Linked DNA regions of Arabidopsis thaliana. The protein of the gene in region 1 interacts with the protein of each later gene in a pairwise test. Each region holds a gene or a part of one and is shown on either strand. Other genes may lie near its edges.

Region 1 (4,159 bases):
CTAAAAACACTAGGGATCGAGTCCTCATCTCCATGTCCAAGTGCTAATCCTTCAAAACCACCCCCTTGCAAAAGAGTCCTTCTCCATAGCTTGTAAACCAACCAACCATCTCTCTCATACCCTAAACCGCGGTTTAGTCTCCATGGAGACGTAATTTTTTCCACTTTTGCTTAGATTTCATATTAGGTTTTGCAGCCATATCGGCCTGGAAGTTTTTGTGAAGCGGGCATGCCATGATCTGCATTCCTCCCTCAAGGTTTTTAAGTTTCTTTCCTGGTCCTAGAATGTTAACGGTAACATTTTCTAGCCCCATCAAAGAATGTTCTCAAGAATCTGCCATATACTCAGATTCAGATTTCTCTTTCTTTTCTTACTTAACATAAGGAAGCCATCTACAAAAGAAGGCACCAGTGTGTCTTTAAGAAAAAATTCTTTGGTTTGTCTCTAAGGGCTTTACTCAGATACATCATCTGAGCATTTTCCCCAGATTTCTTGATTTGTTTTCATCATCTCTGTACAGAATCTCTATCACATATATATAAAGAAGTTTTCCAGAGTGTAACTTTAGGAAAAATGAAAAACTCAGAAGGAAGAGTTTGTTGTATTGTTAAGACAAATATATATGAGTGGAAATATATGATTTGTCTTTTGGTTTGATATATATAAGTTTCTTCTAATGCATTAGTTTACATTTTGCTAATGGACTAAGCTTTCTTCTCTCTAACTTTCAGACATATTTGGAAGTAAAAAGTTTCCAAATCAAAAACAATTTTCTTGAAGAATTAAATATTTTGATCCCCAATCTCAGCTTCAGGCCTTTTTCTTCTTCTGCATTCTCTGCAGCTTCCTCCATTTCAGGTAAATTTGGTAAGACAATCCACCGAACACCATCGACACACATCCCCATTGTTTGGAAGATAACGGATTCCCGCTCAAAACTGAAGATACCACGATGCTTACAAACTTCCTGGTTGTGGTTATGGTCGTGTTAGCTAGAGACCCGAATCTGCTTATTGTCAAGAAGATGAAGTTTTGGCCTACTGCACCGCATAAACAGTACATAAGAATGTCCCATGCTGCCTCAGGGTGTTGCTTGCAGAACTGCACAGCTTCAAATCCGCTCCCATGTGGCAATCCAAACATGTAGACCATGTTGTATATGGTTCCCCATAAATTCATTCCCAGCATTATGTCCCATGCGTTAGTTTTGGGGTACCTGTATCCATGTATGGCGATGATTAATGTCCAACATCTAGACCATGTTGTAGATGTCAGACTGGGTTAAGTATCTGACAGAATGTCAAGAGTCATACCTTGCGGTAATGGAATCCTGGGTTGCGTTTGTGAATCCATCAAAGGCAAGGTTTAAGAAGCAAAGCCCGTAACCAAGGGGTGCATTGGGATGTGCTAGCTTGCTGATGGTTTTAGAGCTTGTCTGTAAACCAAGTCAAAGACGGTTTACTACATTTCCACAGACAAAGTATAACAAAGATTATGATCAAAGTTCCTGAATGCAGATTTGCCTACCTTAAGAAGGGCAAACATAGATACTCCTCCGGCAACAAGAAAGGTGCAAAGATACTCAGGCAAAGTGTATCTTATGCCATAAACTAAGGAGCCCATCAGCATAACTACATGAAAGAAAAAACATATATAAGATACACATAGCAGCAGTTGAGAGCGATTATGGATTGATGCTCTAAATTGACACCTCACCTGGAATCATTTTGGAAGATTTTGCAAGGACCTGCAAGAAGCAAGTTTTGCATCAATATTACTTCCCAAGAAAGGTTATTACCTCAACTATCAACCATAATCAAGAAAAATGAGGTTTTTATTACACTAACAATGCCTAATTTACCTGAGCTGGGTAACTAATATACTTTAAAGCTTCAATGCCCATAGCAGGACCAATGGTATTAGTAATGCCAGCACTCCAATACGTCCACCATGGGGCTCCACCAGAACCTCCGTTGGACCAGAGCTTAATCACTGCTCATAATCAATCAAAAATACTTCAGTTCCATTTATTCGTCTGTTATAAACTTATAATTCTAAGGAATAAACAATGAAGATGCCCTACTCACTTATATAAGACCAAACCAAGCAGATTACATTCTGAGCCAAATTCAGAAATGCAAGATGCTCGAATCTCTTCCCATCTTCACCAAATTTCTTCGTCGACCTAATTCGAAAATGTTAGAGTTCTATCAGCTACATTTCTATAAATTTCCAATAATTGCAAACGCATCACCAACCAGGATTCCGAGAATAGAAACAATCTCGAACAAACAGAATCGAGCAATGTCGAGAGAAAATAATCAACGAGCTAAAATAAGATTGATCGATTTCGACCCTAACGAGTTTTACTTACAAGGTCTCTTGAAGAATGCCTTGGTATATGTAAGCTGCCCAGATCCCAGCGACACAGAACGACAATAACAGAACTCGCCGGAGACCGGAACCGTGAGATTCCATCGCCGCACGTCGCTTATTGTTTTATCCGACGGAGCTCCGGCGAAAATTTGAATTTCAATTTTACGCTATTTGATCAGTTTTGCGATCAAATTATGAGATCGGTCTGAAGTGGAAACGAAAGTTATTAGAGAGAGTGTAGGAGGCGCGAGAAAGACGTAGATTTTCCACGTGTAACTGTGTCATTGGCTTAATAATCTGACATGACACTTCTGATTGGCTATAGGACGTGGATTTATTTCTGGAATCCAAGTCATATGCACATTCATGTCTGAGATAGGAATGGGAACTATGTGCCGTTTTATTGTCATGAAAACGTCACGCAGTTTCCTAGAACTTGTAAACGGATGTTCTTTTTACAGCTTGGGCCTTAATTTGATTAAGCAAACTTGCACACAGCTAATCATGTCAGTTTGACTAACTGATGAATTCATACAAATCTAAGATCACTTGTGGTAAGAAAATGAAAGAAAAAGGCGTATATACACAAATGGAGGAAAGTTGCCAACATGATTTAATTGATTAAAATTTAGTGATGACCCATTGTTAAGATTACTAAAACAAAATATGATATATCTTAAAGTAAATGTGACAATAACGTCAACATAGCGAGAAAAGTTTGAAATATCGAATTTCCATTATATTAAAACAAGGTATCACATGCATGCACTCATGCATAGTTCATTATGATTTGAGTAATTTTCTATACGAATAATATTATACTATATCTCAATGAAAATAGAAGTTATATATATTGGGAAACGGAATTTATATGACATACTTAATCCTCATGGGAGAACCAATTATACATTTTGAAGAGTCAAAAGTCAAAACTCAAAAGAGTGACTCTTACCGGATACAAAATGAAAATAGAAGTCTTGGTGAGATAACAAATTAATGTGTAACATAACAATATAATATCATAAAAGATTCCAAATGGGGCTTTTGTCCACACGTGATATGCAATATGCAAAAGAAAAAAGAACTCTCTTTCGATCTGCCGGTCAATAACAATGTGAATATAGATTAACTGATTAATAAGTAGTTTCTTGGGTCAATGCATGGGATATTATATTTAAGAAATACACCAAAAATGTATTCGACGTTAGCCACCACGTTCCATTAAAAATTCAAATCTAAATGATGATTACCGTCGTCTACATCTATGATTACAAATTTTTTGTCTACTATGCGTTTAGTTATTTACCATGGTTTGACGATTATATATATAACACACATAAATTATGACGGTTTAACGTTGTCTCTTAACTCAAAACTTAATTTTACAAAAATATTATTTAAGAGTTGAATCTCATACTTTAATTATTCATTTGGTCAACTAGAATGCGAAAAATCCACAATACTTCGTAACTAATTTCGGGTCCTTTAAATCTTGATCACCTGTTGATCAACAAAAGATCTACACATAAAGATTGATTCATCCATTGACTAAACTTTTATTTATCGAAGAAAGACTATATATATCTAATGCATGCATGCCATATGCACAATAATCTAATAGTAAATCCAATACGTCTCAGAAAGATAAAATCGTCCATAATACCAAATTTTATTCTAAGGTTTTGATATCTCTCATAATTTGGAAGTGTATGTAAAAGTTTCTTAAACATAAATATAACATCCAAAGAAAAGTTGTAAACACTTAACATCTTGATTGAAGGGG
Region 2 (5,511 bases), about 13 Mb from region 1:
GAGGGCAAAGCCCGTATCCCACAATCTCATTGGCGGTCCGACACTTCACCTAGAACATGACAGAGAAATCGACTCGATGTACATTGAGGGTATTAAATGCGTAATAGACATGAAACCATGCACACATCTAAATTCTCATGTACAAAAAGACACTCTAAAAACATGCCCCGTATCTGCTCTTATACAAATCGTAGTGCAGTCGTCCGTCGACAGGGGTATACTTGTACATCAATTTTCATCAAACATGAGCTTCACCAATTCTTATGTCAAGTCGCTTGATATCAACATATGATATCATGTAATTCTATATACTTTCCCTCTTCCCGCAGGATCCAAAAAGTTGTGCAGAACAAAAGATCATCCGAGAATATCATCTTTCATACACTAAAACGATTACTTTGAATCCGAATTCTTGATCTAGCTTAATTTAGTTTAATACTCATGTATCGTTATTTTTAGTAGTATCAAAATAATTTGAAAAAAAGATGGAAAAGAGAAAACCACGTTGGGAAAATTCCAGCTAGGGATTCAACAGAGGCACACAAGTGTGATTCTTCAAAATTCCAAATTCTTTATATTGAAAAGCTTACTGAATTATAATACACATTACATTGTTCCAACTTCAAAACATAGGCACTCTTAAACAAAACACAGAAATACAAAATCTCTTAAAACTTCAAACTTCCCAACCAAACAAAACCACATAGGCTATTACTACTTAGTTAGGCGGCTTGAAGAACTTGAGCTTAAGTCCATTGGTAACCATACTCCAGATCCCACCTATGGAGAATGCCAAGCTGAATGCAACTCCCAACCAACCTAATCCCCAATGGAAATACCAATTGAAACTGTATTTCGCCGGTTTCTTAATCAAGACCCACATGAAGCAAGGATAAGCAAATGTGACCGGGAGAGTGAGTCCACCGAGCAACCCCGCAAGACTAGACAGAAAAGGGAGAGCAACACCGATGAAAAACGAGACAAAACCAAAAAAGACTCGGAAACCTGATCTGACCCAAATCGAACACGGCTTGTTGGTTCTGCTTGTGTAGCCAGCTTCAAAGCTGTCAAAGGCAGGCATGGAGTATATCTGAAAACTGCTCAAGCAGCTGAAGACTACTAGGAGAAATGCCGTCGCTAATAAGCCTCTCGGGATATCGTGAATGTGGAATGCATACAAAGCAGCAAGCATACCTCCTGAAGGCATCTATAAGACCAAGAAAAAATAACTTCAAACTAATCCGGAAATTGAACCAAAGATCAGAAAACGAACTATAAATAAATGATATTAGTGTTCCTTTTGAATTCTATATTTCACTAACATGAACCAAACACCAGATAAACATCCTTCACTGACAAGACATAAACAAAAGATATAGTAAATGGAACTTACAAGGTTCCCATAAGCCCAAAAGCCTCCGATGGAGATTGGAAAGATACACAGAGCAATGAGGAAGTAAGAGATTTTGGCTCCTCTCCACATTGGTACGTGAGCAGGATGCTTAAACGTTGATGGCATCGTCGACTACAAAGTTTTCAATACTCAGAATAAATCATAAGTCCAATATGTGCATTATCTATAGACAGAAATATTTTGCATATTTTACCTGAATTTCCAAAACCAAGTTGTGACCTCTGAAGGCAAAAGCTATAATGCCAAGAGCATTCAAAACAGCGAAGAGTGAACCAGAAGTCGAAGGCATAGAAAGAGGCTCGTATGAGATAGTGGCTGGTCTTGGTTGGCTCACAGAGAGAACCCAAACCATTGTGGAGTAAGTTATTGCAGTCACTGCTCCTATTAAGGAGAGTCCCGCAATAGAATTGAGGTTTGGTAGCTGAGACAGAACGATGCAGAGAGATGTAAACACCAAATACCATTCAACTGTTGTTAACGGATTCGAGGTGCATAATGGACCGCAAACTATCTGGAAGAAGAGTTTCATTGTCTCTCCACCGATCAGAATCAGCGCTGTCGCGGTTCCTGCTGATAAGTAAACCGTAGGAAACAATGCAAGCCATACTCCTAACCTTTCTCCTGTTCCAATCAAGAGTACAAGATTTAGTAATAGCAACTTAGCAAGACACAAAATTAGTATCAATAATAATTGTCACTATTGATGCATTATTTCATCATTCTTAATGTAAAACTAAATTTATCATTTTACCAAAAGCAGCTTGTGCAAGCTCGACATATCGATTGTAGCGTTTCCCGGGGACAGCTTCGTGCAACTGAACCAGAATCCACAGTGTGTAGAGTTGCCAGCAATATGCTATTGTTAAAGACAGTATTCCCCAACTCCTGTAACAACAATAATTCACTTCTTGAAGTTTGGAAATAATATATGTGCATTTTCTTACATAAGAATCTCAAATACATGATCATTGCAATATCATTATTCATCACTAAGCTATTTAAGTATTGAACTAGCCAAATGCTCCACCTTAACAAGTTATGTATAGTTTCAAATATTAGAACTTGCAATAAAAAATATTTATCTAAATATAAGTTTATAAGAAGAAATAGTCATCTATTATGACGTCAACTACATGCCCTACTTATATATACACAATAAATACTTTTCAGAAAAGTGTTTTTTGCCGGAAATTAACAAGAAACAAAGTAGACGATAAAGAAGGCTCTGTCTTAATCCAAATTAAAGCAAAAAAGTATGTCTGTGAGTATCCACATGTGTAATGATGGAAGCATGACAAATTAAAAAGAAAATATCTACTGCTAAAATTGAAATGTTTTCAAAGTTAAAAAGTAAATTAGTCAATATCCTATTATTATTTCCGACAAGAAAAACATTTTTGATTTTTGCCCAAACAAGTAAAGTGAACCCTGAAACTGGATCTGAGCACCACAGAGAGTCGAATAAACCCTCGCCGTTCACTAAACAAAAATAATCTTGAAACACTAAACACAAAGTTCAAGAAAAAACTCAAAAACAAGAAAAAAGATTATTGGAAAAATCAAGAAAAACGCAAACGCACCAGCCAAGAAACGCAAACGCGACGGGAAGAACAAGGGCTTGAAAACCAACACCAGCGTTGAGATTGTGAAAAGCAGCGTAATGAGCGTTTCCATTACGAGATTCAGTGATTGGAAGCCAAGCATCTTGTGGGTTTAGCTTAGTGAGATGACCAACTTCTTCAAGATACCCTTTCATGTTCACAAGAACTCGTTTCATTGGTGTACCAATCGGACTCAAGAACCTCGGTGATATGAACGAAGTCGGAGTCCATGTCGCCGACGATGGTTTGGTGGCCGGACGAGGTGATCTTTGACCGGAGGGAGTTAGAATCTCCGGTGTTGAAACTCGTGGTGTGGCTGGTATTGATATTAGCTCTGTCTCGGGTCTTTCGTCCATTGGAGCAGGTGAAGAGTGCGAGAAGAAATGATGTTTTTTTTTTGTTCTCACTATCACTCTCTCTCTCACTCACTCCCTATTTAGAGGGGTGGTTTTTTTTAGGACAACTTTATTGGTATTGAAACAAATTTTTATTTAATTACAAGAAGAGGACAGATTAACTAACGAAATTTACAATTAAATGACAATCAAAGTTGATAATTAAAGAACATGACATGATTATTTATAATGGTCTCAACAGTAACAATTTTTTTTTTGTAACATTACGACAAAAGTAACCTTCCCCATCAATACAAAAGTTCTGAACATATGTTTGTTTGACCAGTAAGTACTAAGTATTATGATGGTGAGGTCAAGTTTTTGAACATTATGACCAATTTGTTTATTTTTTAGCAAAAAATTGACATGAAATAGGTGTTGATGATCATAATCACTTTAAGTTAGCTGAAATATTTCACCTTATCTGAGTGGAAAAATAACATTGATATATGTAAATTAAAAAATAACAATGAAATATGTAGATTAAAAAGTAACACTGAAATATCTTAGCAAAGTAAAAAGTAACACTTCAAACATGTAAATGAAAAAATAGAGAGAAGAATTTTTGAGGCCAAGCAAAATTTGCAACTCACCTTACTCTTTCATAAAAAAATTCAATACAACAATTTAATTTTACCAAGGGATTAGAGATATCGATTATATAAGGGAGTGAATGCACTATAACACCCTTCATAAACCACCATTAACTCAGTTTAAATATTTGATACAAAAATTTATCTTTGTTCTTTCTCTAATATGCATTATACAAAATAACTATTTAAAAGATTCGCAAACTCATTTCTTCAGTTTTTTACTTAAAAATAAGATAAATACATTTTGGAGTTGGATCTAAACTCAACATCACTTTTTGGATGATTGAAGATTTACAGGATATGCTTGTCTGAAAATAATAGATTTGGAGTTAGCAAAATCTTTGTATTCTAGTGATAAAATAGATACGAGTAAGCAAAATAAATTGATACACATAATTGTAATGAAGTTTGGTCTTTCAAACTACATCCATGGAATTACATAATTGCAAACGTATAAACCAAATCCATTTGCTCTGACCTACCACTAAGCTAAATTACATCTAAATTTAGAGTTTAGTCATGATTTGAAAAGGAAGAGTTACAAATTATGTCCAACTTGACGTTATTTGTATTTTATTTTCTTGTATCTCTTCTACCATCTACTAAAAGGAGATATCTTGCTCTTCAAGTTAGGAATTATCCAACATCACTTGTCGATGGACTTTCTACTGAAGCTACAAGGACATGACATGCTCGGTTATATCATATTGGAGTTGATTCACAGAGAAGATGTTGGAGAAGTACATGAAGAAGATGATGGCATGGAGGATATCACTAAAAAATACCATAATGAGGTTGGTGAAGTAGTTCAAGGAGTACCACAACTGAGAAGGTCGGGTCGACAAATAAGTCAGTCGCGGTACCTTGAAGACTATGTTATGCAGTCCGAAACAACTTATGGATTGTTCCACCAAGCTTATGTTAAAAGTAAGAGACGTCAACTTTCAACAAGTAATGAGCCAAGAGGCTAAAGATGTGCTTTAATGGAGGAAAGATGTGAAGAGGAGTTTGAATCAGTCAACAAGAACAAGATGGTTCCTTGTTGACATATTCATTCAAGTTTTGATCGGTTCAAAAGCTTTTCAAGAGTTTTAGAGAAGCAAGTCGGCTTGTCTATTAAAACCTTTTGTACCGATAAAGGAGGAGACTTTACTTCAAGGGAGTTCAATCGATGTTGCATAGAGGAGGAGTCTCCAGGTATCTAATGAAGATTCTAAATGATATGTGGAGAGAAGTCGTACGTCATTGAAAGATCATGGGACTACATCTAAAGAAACTAGATGAAGAGTCAAGAAGTATAATCACGAGGCTGCATCTCAAGAAGGTAGATGATTGGTCAATCTTGGAACTAAGTCAGATTTTAGAGATGTTTAAACCAAGTTGGGTTTTATTAGAGAATATCAAAACAAGCAAGGTCATGGTATTTGGGTGTTTTGTACTAGTCATTGAAGTACAAGTAATATTTAGCTAAGAAAGCTGAAATGAGTATGATACATTGCAACACACCG
Region 3 (4,417 bases), on another chromosome or scaffold:
AGTATCCTCCTCTTGACCTTGTTCTATACGCAGACATTGTTAATGCTCTTACGAGGAATAAAGAGTTCGATGAGATAGATCGTCTTATTGGTGAAATTGATGGAATTGATCAAAGAAGTGATGATAAGGCTTTAGCTAAGTTGATTAGGGCTGTGGTTGGAGCTGAGAGGAGAGAGTCGGTGGTTAGGGTTTATACCTTGATGAGGGAAAGTGGTTGGGGGTCTGAGTCATGGGAGGCTGATGAGTATGTCGCTGAGGTTTTGAGTAAGGGTCTCTTGAGACTAGGAGAGCCAGACTTGGCTTCTCAAGTCTCACTCAAATCTTCAATTCTAAAACCTTGAATTTTCGGGTTTTCGGTTTGGTTTGGTTCGGTTTTTGATTAAGTTCATACACTTTTGGCAAAGATTGCACTATATTCTGTTGCTATGGTTAGTTCTTTCGATTTGGTTCGAGCTGAAATCAATTCGGGTAGCGAAAAATTTACGAAATGGTTCATTGCGATATGCGAATTGGATCGGAAGTAAATAGTTTATGCATTGAAATGTTGTGGCGTTTACAATGATCTGTTTTGAAGATTTTAGACATATGGGGTAAAAAATTGTTTCTTTGATTGTTGTAACCCTTGAGCACTGACTCTTACGGGGCAGAAACTCTTGGATTCGAAATGACTTCAAGAAATGAGTTTGTATTTGATTTTGACGATTAATGCAAAGAGGCCATAAGAAGGAAGATGCAGGAGTGCCACCAACAAATACCTGCAGATGCATGAATTAAAATATTAAGGATAGGCGTAATCATTCTAAGGAATGAAACATTATGATATAAACCAATCCTGACTAGTGTCTAGTATGTAAATGTTTTCAAGGCTTACCACACTGGAGCCATGTCTAATGACAGGTTGAGAAATGGATATGGCCACCTAAGTCAATCGAGGAATACAAGTGTAAGATTAATCAAGACGGTAAGTGTAACATACAAAAGATGACAGAGAAGAGTTTTACCCAACGGAGATAAACATGTGGAGAATCCACTGGAAAAGAACGAAACATCCTGTCCATAAGATGAAGTAAGAGAACCTGAACAATGGAAATTTCTGCAAAGCAACATCACAAAAAGACCTCAGGTTCAACACATTAATGAAAACGAAAACTCGTCGTAAATGCAGAGGAAAGAATTGTTTTACCAGACGGTTTAGAAACGTGTCAATAAGCAGCAAAACGAGGTTGCTTGTGTGCAAATTCACAGTCATCTGAAAACACAGAATTTTGACACTAGAGAAGTTGAGACTAAGTTCAAGAGGGTCAAGTGCAACGTAGAAAGTGCCATCAGCAGTGTACAAGCTTTAACTAATATACGGTAAATGGCGCGAAAACTTACGAAACTCATCTCATAGTCCTGTAAAGACAGAAACGGGAAAATCACGGTCCAATATATACTGTCTGTAAGCACAGCTGCTCCAGCACCCATCTGTTTTTCAACAAACCAAAACACACAAGTATCAGTGATCATATATACACTAATGAAACAAGAAATCTGAAAGTTGCAAACTATACATCATAATAACCAAAGGAATCTGTCTACCTGATATATAATCTGGAAGAGATGAACATATGACTTTAGTGCTTCCGAACCAGAAGTTTTTCTCTTCTCGAACGAAACCATGTTGTCACCATCTATAAGAGGCGAACGAAACCCGTTCTCTGCATCGATTCCTACTTGATCAGCGATAAGTCCAGTGTTCCCTTGCTTCTTGTATTGTAAACATCCATAAATTGAAAGCAATGATCCCATCTACACAACACACAAGTGACAACAAACATTCAAACAAACTTGACTATAACCATATACATATTCACAACATCAAAAATCAAAACATACCCCGAAGTAGATTGCTATCAAAGTGAATGTCCACCTACCAATCAAAACCTCAATCATATCAGTCTCAAAACATCAAAGATATTCCCTTTCCACACAATAAAGCAGAGATCTTTAAAGAGAACTTACTGAGTATAATAGTAGTAAATACGCCATCCACGATTAGCAAACCGGGCAATATTGTTAGCAAGAAGGAAACAAAACCCGAGAACCCGAAAACCCAACAACCAACCCGGATGGATTCGTTCAAAACAAGGTCTCCAAACATCATCAATGCACAAAACATCATTACCATTAAGTGATGGTTGAGTTTGAACTGAACTATCTTCATACTTCCATAAGACTAATAAAGAAACAATCATTGGAACTATTACCCATATAGCACATAGTAACACTCTCCAATTAAACCAGTAATCAAAGCTGGTGAATTCCAAAACATTCTCAAGATTCATTTTTTTTTTCTTGTTCTCTTGTTGATCCGTCTGAATATTCGGATCTTTTAGATCCGAAACTCAATGGGATCAACACCGGACTTGAAAACCCAGATCAAAAACTGTCTCTGCAGAGGAGTTAAAAGTAGCTTAATTGATTTACATATAGAGATATTAGTGTTAAGATTAAGTAGCTTTGATTCTTGATACTTACGTTATGTTAAGAGAAATGTAGAAGCTTGTCCTTGTTCTTGTTGTTGTGTGTGATGGAGAAGTCAAATTGAAACTTGGAAGGTGATGAGATATGAGATATGTATAAATCTGAAGAACAATCCAATGGCGGTGTCAGAGGCCCACTGGAATCGGAGAACACAGAGTGGAGACAAGGACAGGTGGGACCTTCTCCGTTTGTCCAACGCTTAGTTGCCAAACGACGTCGATTTGGTTTCGTGTGTATTTTACTTAAATAGGCCTAAATCACAAATCTCATATAAATGGAAAGATATCTACAAGCCCATTATTATTTTTAACTATTTGTAGTTAAGACTAAAATTGTTAAGTTTTTTTTCTTTTTTTGTTGGAGGAATTGCACAAAAAGAATAAGAAGTAATGGTTTATTGTATTTGGTTAAGATCTCAATTTTCTATGTAGTTAGTCAAAATATCATTAATGAATATAGATCCCAAAAGTTTTATGTATTTTTCTTTTAGTTATGTATGACTTTTCGAATGGTGATATACAAAACAAATGGAAAACCAAAATATAATGTATACAAAACTCTCATTACGTTTTTTTTTGTTTGTGTTTTGCCTAAAATTTCTGGTATTACAATACGACGGACCATATAGTCATTATGACGGTAAGGTAACAAATTCCAGAAAATTACAATACAACGGACCATACACATATTATCCCATATTACATCATACTAACCAGATATTTTGTAAACAACTAGTACTTTTTTTCTTTAGCATAGTCGATATAAAATTATTCTTTAGTGACTAAATGTACTTGTTGTGGACCTAATGGTCGTCTTCTCCTAACCGCAAACGCAATTACCATTCATATAGTATAACAGAAAATTTAACAATATATATAGATTCTTAATTAAAATGAAATTAGAGAATAACAAAAAAAAAATCTGATAAAGCAAGAAAACCTTCAATTTTTGTTTAGTCCAAAAGAAACCTTCAATTAAACCACAATATATATTACATGTCCAATTCTTCAATTAAAAGCACAAACATAATTTCATAAATAGCATAATTATATAGGTAGATATAATCAAGTTCGACTTGTTTATATTGCACGGTCTAAAGACGACCATGAGCAATCATCTCCAGCAAAGCAATCTCGTTCATCATAACTTCATCACATCCATGCATCACCATCCAGCTATCAGTCATCGGCTCATCAATCTCCATGGTCACACCACTTCCAGAACCAGACGCAGAACCAGAAGTAGACGCTGATCCGGAGGCCGACATAGCCGCCAATGACGGCATCTTGATCCTTCCATCTTCTAAACCCAAGTTATTCACACCATCCACAATATACTTACATTCACCCTCATCATACTCCGAGACCGCAACCATTACATTCTTACCTTTACCTCTCATGTTTCTTGGACCAATGTTTGCGTTTGCATTTGCGGTCATGAAAGGATCATCATTGTAGGTAACAGACCTAATGTAGTTCTGAAGAGTGTTGCTACCAAGTGAAAGGGAAATTTCATCTTTTCCTTTAGTCCTCCTCGAGTGTTGTCGACGTTTAGTCGCGTTCCAATGGTTCTTGATCGTATTTTCAGTGCGTCCCGGGAGTTTTCGAGCTATCTCAGCCCATCTGTTCCCAATCTCCTTATGGGCTTTTATCAGTATTATATCCTCTTCTTCAGTCCATCCATCTTTCTGTAACATACCACATAAAATATGCTTTATATGTAAATAATACATACAATATTAAACAAATATTTTTATTTTTTATATGTTTTTTTCTCTTTTATGTTTGTTGAATTATATGAGAGAATCCAAGTGACAATGACTTTAGTTTAAATGTCTTACCAATTGTGAAGTTTTGTCCGCAACAAGAAGACAAAATGCCTTAAAGAATTG

The links.
Region 2: the proteins of UTR3 (region 1) and AT1G47670 interact in a protein complementation assay, tested with the Arabidopsis thaliana proteins (one large-scale study listed by BioGRID).
Region 3: the proteins of UTR3 (region 1) and AT3G27770 interact in a protein complementation assay, tested with the Arabidopsis thaliana proteins (one large-scale study listed by BioGRID).

What each region holds. Positions count from the first base shown.
Region 1 is NC_003070.9:4,910,552-4,914,710, forward strand, and holds UTR3 (UDP-galactose transporter 3), read right to left. Parts: upstream 2,617-4,159; 5' UTR 2,479-2,616; coding exon 2,375-2,478; intron 2,186-2,374; coding exon 2,088-2,185; intron 1,993-2,087; coding exon 1,862-1,992; intron 1,748-1,861; coding exon 1,717-1,747; intron 1,632-1,716; coding exon 1,528-1,631; intron 1,436-1,527; coding exon 1,314-1,435; intron 1,217-1,313; coding exon 811-1,216; 3' UTR 542-810; downstream 1-541. Other genes in the region: FLP (Duplicated homeodomain-like superfamily protein), read left to right, coding at 1-96. UniProt on the Arabidopsis thaliana protein: Essential sugar transporter required for the transport of UDP-glucose from the cytoplasm into the Golgi and the endoplasmic reticulum. Essential for pollen development and involved in embryo sac progress.
Region 2 is NC_003070.9:17,536,116-17,541,626, forward strand, and holds AT1G47670 (Transmembrane amino acid transporter family protein), read right to left. Parts: upstream 3,605-5,511; 5' UTR 3,372-3,604; coding exon 2,995-3,371; intron 2,300-2,994; coding exon 2,166-2,299; intron 2,036-2,165; coding exon 1,608-2,035; intron 1,526-1,607; coding exon 1,394-1,525; intron 1,208-1,393; coding exon 719-1,207; 3' UTR 510-718; downstream 1-509. Other genes in the region: AT1G47680 (uncharacterized protein), read left to right, coding at 4,660-4,974. UniProt on the Arabidopsis thaliana protein: Amino acid transporter.
Region 3 is NC_003074.8:10,285,148-10,289,564, forward strand, and holds AT3G27770 (plant/protein), read right to left. Parts: upstream 2,785-4,417; 5' UTR 2,521-2,784; intron 2,435-2,520; 5' UTR 2,328-2,434; coding exon 2,005-2,327; intron 1,913-2,004; coding exon 1,879-1,912; intron 1,792-1,878; coding exon 1,582-1,791; intron 1,468-1,581; coding exon 1,378-1,467; intron 1,250-1,377; coding exon 1,184-1,249; intron 1,094-1,183; coding exon 1,002-1,093; intron 920-1,001; coding exon 872-919; intron 756-871; coding exon 671-755; 3' UTR 510-670; downstream 1-509. Other genes in the region: EMB3123 (PPR containing protein), read left to right, coding at 1-341; MYB118 (myb domain protein 118), read right to left, coding at 3,620-4,213.